Linked DNA regions of Lepisosteus oculatus. The protein of the gene in region 1 interacts with the protein of each later gene in a pairwise test. Links are inferred from orthologs where the notes say so. Each region holds a gene or a part of one and is shown on either strand. Other genes may lie near its edges.

Evidence for each region.
Region 2: the proteins of bhlhe40 (region 1) and rhobtb3 interact in binary tests that used the Homo sapiens proteins (3 or more experiments, as listed by UniProt). The two-hybrid records come from large-scale screens. The link is inferred for Lepisosteus oculatus from reciprocal best matches to the Homo sapiens genes BHLHE40 and RHOBTB3.
Region 3: the proteins of bhlhe40 (region 1) and inactive serine/threonine-protein kinase 19 interact in a two-hybrid assay, tested with the Homo sapiens proteins (2 studies listed by BioGRID). The two-hybrid records come from large-scale screens. The link is inferred for Lepisosteus oculatus from reciprocal best matches to the Homo sapiens genes BHLHE40 and WHR1.

The regions. Positions count from the first base shown.
Region 1 is NC_090699.1:54,736,794-54,740,542, forward strand, and holds the start of bhlhe40 (class E basic helix-loop-helix protein 40), read right to left. Parts: upstream 2,602-3,749; 5' UTR 2,179-2,601; coding exon 2,102-2,178; intron 1,948-2,101; coding exon 1,884-1,947; intron 1,606-1,883; coding exon 1,498-1,605; intron 830-1,497; coding exon 706-829; intron 232-705; coding exon 1-231. UniProt on the Homo sapiens protein: Transcriptional repressor involved in the regulation of the circadian rhythm by negatively regulating the activity of the clock genes and clock-controlled genes.
Region 2 is NC_090698.1:74,236,196-74,239,944, reverse strand, and holds the start of rhobtb3 (rho-related BTB domain-containing protein 3), read right to left. Parts: upstream 2,409-3,749; 5' UTR 2,323-2,408; intron 1,353-2,322; exon of another isoform or gene 665-1,352; intron 1-664. Other genes in the region: probable G-protein coupled receptor 150, read left to right, coding at 2,975-3,749. UniProt on the Homo sapiens protein: Rab9-regulated ATPase required for endosome to Golgi transport. Involved in transport vesicle docking at the Golgi complex, possibly by participating in release M6PRBP1/TIP47 from vesicles to permit their efficient docking and fusion at the Golgi.
Region 3 is NC_090714.1:16,457,613-16,461,361, forward strand, and holds the start of inactive serine/threonine-protein kinase 19, read right to left. Parts: upstream 2,421-3,749; 5' UTR 1,925-2,420; coding exon 1,819-1,924; intron 1,315-1,818; coding exon 1,163-1,314; intron 714-1,162; coding exon 478-713; intron 1-477. Other genes in the region: dxo (decapping and exoribonuclease protein), read left to right, coding at 2,874-2,936, 3,079-3,554. UniProt on the Homo sapiens protein: DNA-binding protein which is required for efficient transcription-coupled nucleotide excision repair (TC-NER). Acts as part of a TC-NER complex which assembles and interacts with RNA polymerase II (RNAPII) when it stalls at DNA lesions.

The DNA.
Region 1 (3,749 bases):
GCTTCTCTTTGTGGTCATGAGCTTTGAGGCCAAGATCCTCCATTCGGGGGCTGGGTGTTCTCTGCAGGACCTCAGACGCTACCTTGTGCAGGTGGTTGATCATATGGGAAGGGGTCAGCTCTCGTCCACTCTCCTGGTTGGCCAGGTACTGCAGAACTTCCTTTGCACACATGTGAAAACCAGACCGGAACATTTCCTCGCTCACGTCAGGGCTGTGAGCTGGATGGTCACCTTAAAAAAAAAAAAAGAAAAAAAGAAGGAACTTCTAATTAATCATCCTGACCGTCACAGAATAGTTGCACTGGAACTTAATTTCAATACAAGATGCTCGCAGACATCCCGTATTAAAAGGTTATTCACTAAGTTACTGCACTACTCAGTAAATAAACATTTAATTTTTATGTTGGGATTTTGCTACTGAAAAGCTATTTCGAGTTCTGAGAAAAGACATAACATTTCATCTTGCAGAAAATGTCTAATGGAATAGAATGTTTCAAGGGAATTTTGCCATTCAGACATGACGTTTTGAATGATACGCACAGGCTTATATTTACATATTATTCCTGATTTAGCAGCTTAGAAATGTCACATGCAATCGCCCTTTGCAAAGACTCCTTTCAATAAACGTAATAAAATCAAAAGCCAAAAACGTATGCTGTTATCTATTAATCTATGCATTTACATTTGAAGTTGCACATTACTTACCGACTTGCAATCCATTCTGTAGTGCGATGATTTTTTGCTGCTGTTGTTCTAAGAGGCTAGTGAGGGCTTTCACGTGCTTTAGGGTCAGCTCCAGAACCACCGCCTTTTCCAAATGGCCCAAAGTCTGTAAATAAAAAAAGTCTGATAAGCACGCAGATAACTTATGTAACAAACTGTGGCTGACAAACCTGTGATCATCAAAAGCAGTTTAAGAATAACGTGATAGAATGAACAAGAGCTTTGAAATATCAAATAAGTAAAAATACGAATCCCTCTAACTATAAATCGTACAATATTTGTAACGCATCAACAAAGTGCATACAATTACGCGTTACAATTGTTAAAGGATGGGCACCGAACGGTAATTTTAAAAGAAGCATTTTTATCAACAAGTTAAAACTTAATTAAAAAGCCTTTGAATATCAAAGATTCCCGTGTTTATATTGTTTCCACATAACCATATTTTCAAGTGATATTAACACAATTACCGTACCTATAATCACTTCATATCCGATCAAAAAATATACTAGAATTTTTATTTTCAAATACGCCATTTGGCACCTATGATCCTATCCTGTGGAACTTTTCGGTACTTTCGGTACAACTGCAGAAGCTATGTAATGTCAAGGCGAATGAATAAATCGAAGAAAGGCTTTGATCCATTCCCTTGATAATTTCCCATGTAAAGTCAGCTGCCCTTCAAGAAAACCCTACGCCAACAAGCAGATGGCGCTTTATACCACAGTTGATTTCTATTTAAAAGAATTGACTTTATTCCAAATTCTAACTTACAGTAAGTTTAAGGTGCTCTGGCAACAAATCCTTAAGTTGAGCAATGCATTCATTAATTCTGTCACGCCTTTTCTTTTCAATGAGTCTATGGGGCAACTTGTAAGTTTCCTAGAGAAAAAAAAAATCAACAGTTAGGTTCTTGTTCAAGTATGCACGTTTAAGTACACTATGTAAAGTTTACATAGTTTAATTTAAAATTATATTTACGTTATTGCATTTTTAGCCCATTAAATACATACATATATGGTATAAGCATACATCAAAATAATGATATATGCCTCGATTAAATACATGTTTAACTTACAAAAACAGCTTTCAAATGACATATAAAAGATCCACCAGAAAGGTATTTCAAATTGTAATCAAGAAGAGAGAGCGTTTCGTACCTTGCTGTCTTCCCCTCGCTTTATTCCCCTTCTGGGCTTGTACACGTACATGGGGAAATCCATTCTACAAGCAATATGAAAACGGGGGAAAATAAGATGTCTGCATTTGAAGAACGGCTAACTTTATCAAACTTGCACGAATTGCGCGACACACAGAAGAAGAGACAAACTGCAGACTGGAAAATGCACAAACCAGCTGTTAATAGACACGTACATACCCTTGCATGTCAGGGATTTCCAACGATGTGTGTTTTGTCATGCAAGGGGGTGGCTGCGCAGCTGTGATCCTTTCCATTTTCTTTTCTGACGACGAAACCAACGTGAAACAAGGTACGATAGTCAAAAGTTTTTTTTTTTCGTTTCTCCCGTTCAGTCGCAAAACTGAATATGAAAAGTGTATATGATTTAGTAAAAAAAAATCAAAAGACCGCTCTTGCTCTGACGTTTTGTTTTTTCTTCTTCAGATTTTGCGAGCTGCTTATTGTTCTACGCTTTACTTTTCATCATCCACGATGTCTCTTGAAAAGCAGAACGACAGCGCTCACGACGTTATCACCCAGCGATCCAAAGCGCAGTCGGCTGTAGTTTGAAGCTGCAGGCTGGGTTAAATGTATGGGAGTGGGTGGATTGGGCTACGTGTTAAATAAACCCTGTGACTACAGACACGTCTCTAGCTCAGTAACTGACCTACCTCCGTCACATGAGCCTCACGTGTTGGACAGCACTTTCAACTGAACTACGAACAACCCTTTTTTTTTTCCTTGTTAAGGAGGATCTGCACGAAAACGTTACGCCCCCGTCACACTTCTGTGTCCCGTGTACCACCATGCTCCACTTAAGTGTGCTACAAAGCAGCATCCCCGGAGCATCAAAGACTTTTCATTACAGATGAGGTTTTCGGCATTGTAGAAATCGGGGAGGGTAGAGTACCCGATTTTAAAAGGGAATCGATTAATCTTGCATGCTGCTATGTAATGTTGAAATCATATAAAAGAATATTAAAATCGGTAAACATGACACTACTTATATTCTTTCCAAAAATGAGAAACCTCGACCTCACCCCGTGCCTTTGAAGTGTCGCGATTATTTTCAAATTTTATCAACTACATGTCGAACATAGTACATTTTTCCAATGGCTATGTCGCTACTCCGCATTTTTAATTAAAATCTCTGTGTGGATTTCTGACTCGTGGAGGTTTTCTTATACCAACGCTGATGTTATTCACGGCAATCTGAATAGAGCTTGTCATGTTACCAATAATCAGCGACGCCACGTTTTTAGGATTTCCTAGGTATGCACGATATAATTCTGACAAGGCTGTGCCAACCTTGAACCACGGAATGTCTTCTGCATAGTTAGTTCACCTCTAAATCGTGCTTGACAAAATTTTTAAAATTACAATGCTATTAACTAATATTAAGTACCGTGACCACAGTGCAGTGCAGACAGCATTACTAAAGTTAACTGATCTGTGACGCAAGATTTTGGACTCCTAGTCTTAGCGCAATACGAATTCCTGCTACAAACGTGAATACCAGGCAATTCATTTAGCAGCTGTGCGGGTCTTTTAAGGTTACTGAAGACTAGCATGATCAGAGATGTTCATTTCATTTTGAAGCTTCGGGTTAAGACAGTTGCGCTTTTTATATATGCAAAATGATATGTAACCACATACGGCTATGCTTGCATTGCGTGAAGATCTAATCCTTTCGGCTGAAGTGAGCTCTGTATACCGTTCTCTTTTACCTTAGTGTTCTGTTGTCGACAGCCATTTACAACATTCAAGTCGATGTGAATTCGCCATTAAAATAACTAGTTGTATATTATTCTGAAATGGAAAAAATATAAGCAGAAAATCCCGTATA
Region 2 (3,749 bases), on another chromosome or scaffold:
GGGTACAGATTCCCAGAGAGACTGTACTGGAGGGGTACAGGTTCCCAGAGAGACTGTACTGGAGGGGTACAGGTTCCAGGAGAGACTGTACTGGAGGGGTACAGATTCCAGGAGAGACTGTACTGGAGGGGTACAGATTCCCAGAGAGACTGTATTAGAGGGGTACAGATTCCAGGAGAGACTGTATTAGAGGGGTACAGATTCCAGGAGAGACTGTACTGGAGGGGTACAGATTCCCAGAGAGACTGTACTGGAGGGGTACAGATTCCAGGAGAGACTGTATTAGAGGGGTACAGATTCCCAGAGAGACTGTACTGGAGGGGTACAGATTCCCAGAGAGACTGTATTAGAGGGGTACAGATTCCCAGAGAGACTGTATTAGAGGGGTACAGATTCCCAGAGAGACTGTACTGGAGGGGTACAGATTCCCGGAGAGACTGTACTGGAGGGGTACAGATTCCCAGAGAGACTGTATTAGAGGGGTACAGATTCCAGGAGAGACTGTACTGGAGGGGTACAGATTGAGTACAGGGGTACAGGGGGACCGAACTGGACCCGACACCAGCTGTGTGTACGTCCACCTTTATTTTGATGTCCGACACAAACCAGACATTAAAATAAAAGCCGGCGGGTCAGAGAAATACCCAGACGTCGCCGCACTCACCGGTCTGCCGTCCTTTCAGACGTTTCTCATCCTGGTGACACCGCAGACCCAAGCAGCACAGGTCAGAAACAGAAATATAATATAGATCTAGTCCCCTGAAACAATTTTCTGCGTTTTCCTGGCCGGACTGAAATCACGGGAGCACCGCAGTCCGCGAGACGCCACGACCTGGACACGTGACACCCCACGTGGTGCTGAAGCAGGAGAGCAGATTTTCACAATGAACAAACAAAAACTCTTATTTCTTGCAGCTGTTGTAGCGAAACAGATACTTTTTTTCCCCCCTGTGAATTGTACTTTCTGAATTGCACTTATTTGGAGTTGCACATCAAATGAAACAGCGGGATCCGTTTGTTCAGCGCGGATAAATTCAGGCAGCATCACCAAAATACCCGTTTTAATATTGTTGGCTAAAGTCGAACTCGAAAACAACTGTCCAAGATCTAAGATAAATTAGATGACTTAGAGCAACAAAAAAAATATTTATGTTTCACCTAAATACACGAACACGTATTAAGCTGTTATCATGGCGCGCTTGTAGTGTATATAGAAATGGGTATGACATATTTCACTGAAACAAGAATTAAACTCTCCCTTATATGTTTATATCATTTTAATTCACAGCTCGTGAAGCGCGTCGGTTAAACGGTGCTCCCCGCGGCTGCTGCAGAGCCGGGGAGAAGTGCGTGTTCTGTAAGGTGTGTGTTACACCGCTAGATGGCGTGCGCGGCCTCTCCAGGCAACAGGTGAAGGCCGATTCCACGCTGAAAGGAAAAGCGTGAACTCCTAACTCTCGAGCTGCTGTACTGCTGTTCCGAAACGGCGCCGAGGTGTCGAAACGTGGCTAAAAGTTCGTCCATTCCTCCCGTTTCTAACGGATGCATCCGATTCAGGGTGGCGGCGGAGAGATGAGCGCCAGGCAGGGCCCACCAGACCCCTGCACACTCACACACACACTCACACACACGCACACACACAATCACACACGCACAATCACACGCACACGCACACTCACACACACTCACACTCTCACACTCACACACGCACACAATCAGACTCACACTCTCACACTCACACACGCACACAATCACACTCACACTCACACACACACTCTCACACTCACACACGCACACAATCACACTCACACTCTCACACTCACACACGCACACAATCACACACACACTCTCACACTCACACACGCACACAATCACACTCACACACACACTCGCTCGCACACACACTCACACGCACAATCACACGCACACTCACACACACACTCACTTGCACACACTCGCACACTCAGACTCACACACACGCACAATCACACACACACACGCGCACACACACACTCACACACTCTCACACACACCAGGAGTTTCCCAGGAGCGTATTAACCTGCCAGCGTGTCTGCAGTGGGGCACTGACACCCCACACGAACACGGGGATCGCAATGGTGCTGACTGGAGCAGTGGCAGAAGAGGCAGAAACGTAGCAGCAGCAGCACTAGTAGTAGCTGCTGTAGTGGTTAAGAGGTAATAGCAGGAGTAGGAGCACTAGTAGCGACTGTAGTAGTTGAGAGGTAGTAGTACAATAGTACCAGCAGTAGCAGCACTAGTAATAGCTGTACCAGCAGTAGCGGTAGCAGTAGCGGTATTTACAATCAGATCGCGATCATATGATCCCTGTACCCGCGGGCCAGGTGTGGACCTCCCGGTCTTCCCGTCCCCTTCCCGTGTGATCCCGCTGTGGATTCCTGCCGTCTGTCACTCCGAAGACGCGCTCGCTCATTTTCTGGTGCATTCACAGATGGTGATTGTTCTGGGCACTGATTTTAATACTTCGGGGTGTAAGAATGACGCACAGAACTGCTCTGTGTAAGGGGCACTGCGGTTCTGCGTGCTCTCCCGAGCCCAGCACCGTGAAGCGCTCTCACTCGCGCTGCCGTGTGTTCGTGCCCGCTCTGCTCCAGGAGGGCTCCGGCCTCGGTTCGATCGCAAACTCGGCGTCACCGAGACCCCCGCCTTGCTGCCGAGCCCACTCGCCCCTGCCCGCGAGTATATCGTCAGATGACGCGGGCTGGTCTATATAAGCTGCGGCTGCCGCTCTGTGGTCTATAACGCCTTGTCTGGCAAGCGCTCGCCGGTCCTGCTCTCTGAGCTATGGAGGCACTCGCGGGCGCTGGGCTGGCGACCGGGGCTTGGTGCTTGACGGTTCGTTAGTCCTGCCGTTGCATGCAGCCGGTCCCTGCGCCCGCACTTCGTCTTCAGCTTGAGAAGTTGACAGGATCGCTCAGGGCTGTGGCGCGCAGAGATGGACGGCGCGCCCGGCTTCGCTGGCGACCCGCGCACGAATTCGTCCGAGCTGGACCGCTGGAGTCTCCCTCTGGCCGACCGCGGGGGCAACTCCTCCTCCACCCGGGGCCCCTTCTACAACCGGCAGGTCCGAATCATATCGATGTCCGTCATTTTCGCCGTGGCGTTCCTGGGCAACTCCATCGTGCTCCACAAGATCTGCTGCGGCCGGAGCAAGCGGCGGAAAATAGACGCCCTCATCACCAACCTGGCCGTGGCCGACCTCTGCGTCTCCGTGCTCACCCTGCTGTCCCAGATCGTCTGGGAGGTGCTGGAGGACAGGTGGGTGGCCGGGGACCTGGCCTGCCGGCTGTTTAAGGTGCTGCAGGTGTTCGGGCTGATCGCCTCGTCCAACATCATCGCCATCATCGCGCTGGAGCGGCACCACGTCATAGTGCGCCCCCTGGCGTCGCCCCTGCCGACCAAGCTCCTGGCGACCGTGGGCTGGCTGGCGGCGCTGGTCCTGGCGCTGCCCCAGGCTTTCGTCTTCAAGGTGCAGCCGGACAGAAGCCCCCACAGCAAGTGCCTCAACACCTTCTCCGACCTGCCCCGCTGGCACTTCCAGGCCTACATCGTGTACGGCTCGGTCACCGTGTTCTTCGCCCCGTTCTGCGTCCTGTGTGTGGCGTACGCTCGCATCCTGTGGACTGTGTGGAGCAGGGACACGCGGGCCAGCGGCACGGCCCACGGGCTCCTGAGCCGCAAGCCCCGGCACCGGAAACGACCGCTGCGCG
Region 3 (3,749 bases), on another chromosome or scaffold:
CCGAACCATACCCCCCTCATCCATCTATCTTCTAACTGCTTGATCCAGTTCGGGGGGGCGGCGGAGCCAGAGCCCATCCTGCAAGCAAAGAGCACAAGGTGGGATACACTCTGGACGGGATGCCTGTCCATCGCAGGGCAAACACAAACACACAGACACACACGCACACAATCACTCACACCAGGGACAATTTTCCCAGAAGTCAATTAACCTATCAGCATGTCTTTGGACTGCCGGAAGAAAACAGCACCCAGAGGACACCCACATGATCACGGGACGCACGTACAAACTCCAGGCAGACAGCATCCCAAGAATTGAACCCAGAGCCCTGTTGCCGAGAGGCAACAATGCTAACCACTATACCACACTACCTATAAAACAAAAAGCACCTTACAACAACCAGCAAATGCTGTACAAAAACTGCCAGCTCGCTAAAGGGAATGAGGGAAGAGAGATGAGTGTAAGGCCGTCTCGTACGTGATCTCCTGGTCTGTGAAGAGGAACTCCTTGAGCATCTTCTCTTTGTTGAAACTCAGGTCAGAGCACACGGGCAGCACGTTCTCGAGGAACCTCTCCACGGTCCCAGACGTCTCCCTCCCGGCTTCTCCCGCAAGCACTTTGGCTTTGTATTCGTCCGCAAAGACCACCGCAGCCGTGTCCGAGTCGAAGCCGAGCTGGAACATCAGCAGTTTCCCCTGGTCCTTCAGTTCACTCTGGGAGAACGGAGGGATAAACCAGAAAGAATAGAAAAACAGGTCATGAAGGTGCAGCTGCAAAGAAAATTCTGATGTCAGTATTGAGGCTCAGAAAACATGCTCTCAAGAAGGCAGAAATTAAACTTTACCTTCTTCGGCACCTTTCCACGACATCAAACCATGAAACGTTTATGCTATAATGCTGGAAGAGAGAGCTTTCTGGACTCTGATCTATCCTAAACTCACCTGCACTTCCAGCAAGCTTTTACCTGCCAGGGTATCTTGGCGTAGCAAGAATCAACTATTGCATATATCCAGGCTCGTTAGAATGATATCACATCACAATATCTGAAGAAAAAGTACAAACACAACTTTCCTCTGACAAAATACTACCCTGTTTTTTTTAGTTCTTACAAATCACATTTCTTTTATTCTTAGAAGTCTCTTTTGAGTGAGGGAAGTGTTACCAGCTGCCGGTCCACAAGTGTCCTGTCTCTATGAATACTGTAGAGCTGGTGTTTCATCACTATGGGCGGCAGGGTGTCATTAAACAGCTTTCGAGGAAACAGAGACATCAAGTTCTCCAGGGCTGCCATAATGTCCAGAGGTCCCTCTGCAGCTGGAATAACACAATCAAGGAGCTGATAGGATCCCACTTAATCTTGGCAAAATAATGTAATATAGCTTTGTTTTCAGTTTGTCACCACTCACACAAGCCAATTTAAAACACCTACAAGCCTTTCTATCCCCATCTACAAATCTAAGAAGCACTGACAATGTGATCACAACTTCTATAAGGAAGTTGCAATGGAAATCTGCAGTCTAGGAAAGAGAAAGCTGAACTGTTGCAGAAAAGTCCCCAAAACGGAGTTACCTGGGGTCTGGAGTATAAAGGGCTAGTCCAATAACTATCCATCATTTTGCACTCTCTGTCATTTTGTTTTATCAAACTTGTGTCATTTGTCACTTCTGTTTCAGAAAGAAATAATTTACTGGATTTAATTATTCAGTCATGGTACAAAAGAGTATCATTTGGCAACCATAAAGTCTTTTAAAAAAAAGTTTAAAAAAAAGTTAAAAAAAGCTCAGACTAATAAAATTGAAATAATTCGTAATTCAATACCTTGGGATATTGACGTTTTGCCATTTTCTTGTAGTCCACGCTCTGTCTCGGATCTCCTCTTCTTAGCTCTGAAGGTGTCCGATATCAATGTCCTTTTTCTGTTCATCGCTGCGGAACGGACACATCAATATCGACAACCTCTCCGATGCTCGCCTTTATTAATGCACCGCAATCAGGTCGAGGAAGTCTTGTGCTCACTTATTTTACGCAGAGATACATCAGTGCATAACCTGTAATTTACTTATTCCAATAATGAAGGGGTTCCTGGACTGGAGTAAAAACGTATACATTAGAACTGTTTTATTCAAAACGGTGGTGCAGAAGCCAGGACTCCATACAAGACGCCTACGCTTGAGGTGAAATCGGTTTATTTTCTTGGGAGGAAGTTAGTTATCGAAATCGGTTTATAAACATAAACCTGGTAATTTAAATCCCAGATCAATTCAGTAAACTAACCGTCAGCAACCTAAAGCCAAATATCAGAGGGTAATGTCTAATTTTATCTTTCAATAACACAACAAAAACAACCACTATTCCAAAACTACAAAAAAAAAGTTATTTCTTTGCCAGCTGGGCACTCTGTGTCGACTGGTTGTGACGCAATGTTTCGTCGCAGGACAATGACGTAGAACAAAGCCGCCATTTGAACACTGTGTACGCAGGTATGGCGGCTCAGTTGCTGAATTTAAAATAAGGTACTGCAATTCCTTTTTCACATTCTACATTGAACTGTACACCTGGTGTGACTGCTTTGGGTGCCTGGGAGTATCCATGTATGTTTTTGTAATGTCTGTTTTCTCTTGCAAAGAATTGAATTGCGCCATTGCGTTCGTGGATCAGGTTATAATGATTTGAACATGTAAGAGATGGGGGTCGCAGGAGTGATAATATAGCTGTCTTATAACAGTGCGTAATGTGTGTACGTAGTGGGACAACAATGAAACGCTCCTACAGATGATTAACTATTGGAATTTACGGACGTTGGCGAGTGAACGTTGCTCTACTTGTTAGTCCCTCTCTAACGTGCGCAAGGAAGCTCCTGGCATGCGATCTGAATGTGGGCGAGCCTGGAGATTTTACACTTTGTCACCGCAGCAGAAAAGAATCGAAACCAGCAGGTTCGTGTGCCGATAGGAAACAGGCTACAGGTCTTTTAGCCGCAAAGGCATGACAGGAGATACGTTTATTCAAAGTTAAAGCCTTGCGGGGAAAAAAAATACGTGTTAATATGTAGCTTGTTTTTTTTTTTTGGGATCGAAGCAGAAGACGATGGACCGTCGCCACAGCCCGTGTGGCCACCGGGGGTCAGCCGGTGTCCGGTCTGAGCACAAGCGCAGCAGGGAAGAGAGGAGCGGGGGCGGCGAGGACAGCAAGAGAGGCAGTTCCAGCCGCGGAGAGAGAAGCTCCCCCGGCTCCCCTCCTCCCCGGGTGCTGAGCGTGCGGAGGCAGCTGTACGACAGAGACTTCCCGCTGTACAAGCAGCCGGTGGAGGTGGGGCATTTCTCCCTGGACGCCAAGCGCAGGTTTTTCAGCGACGCCAGGCAGCTGAGGTATTACGTGCAGCCGGAGCGCTGCCCCAACTTCGACCTGAGAGACGGCTACCGGGACCGCTACGTGAAGAGGGACGAGGCCGTTAAAGAGGGACTGGATCACCTTCTCCGGTGGATCCTGGCGAACAGATCGAAGCTCCGGGGGACCCCGGACCAAGGTGGCACGGCGTCGCCTGCTTTCAATAGGTAGGGCTGGCCGGACGCCTGAGCACGCTGTGCTTTTGCATGTTTCCCGCCCCTCTGTCAAAGCGAGCTGCGCTTCCTGTTGCAAGTACATGAAGAGCAGGGGTATGACGGGGAGGGGTGAATTCTGCTGCTCTTGCACATCACTAGGGGCAGATACTCCAGGACTGGTGTACTGGAGGCTGCCGCTGAGGTAGT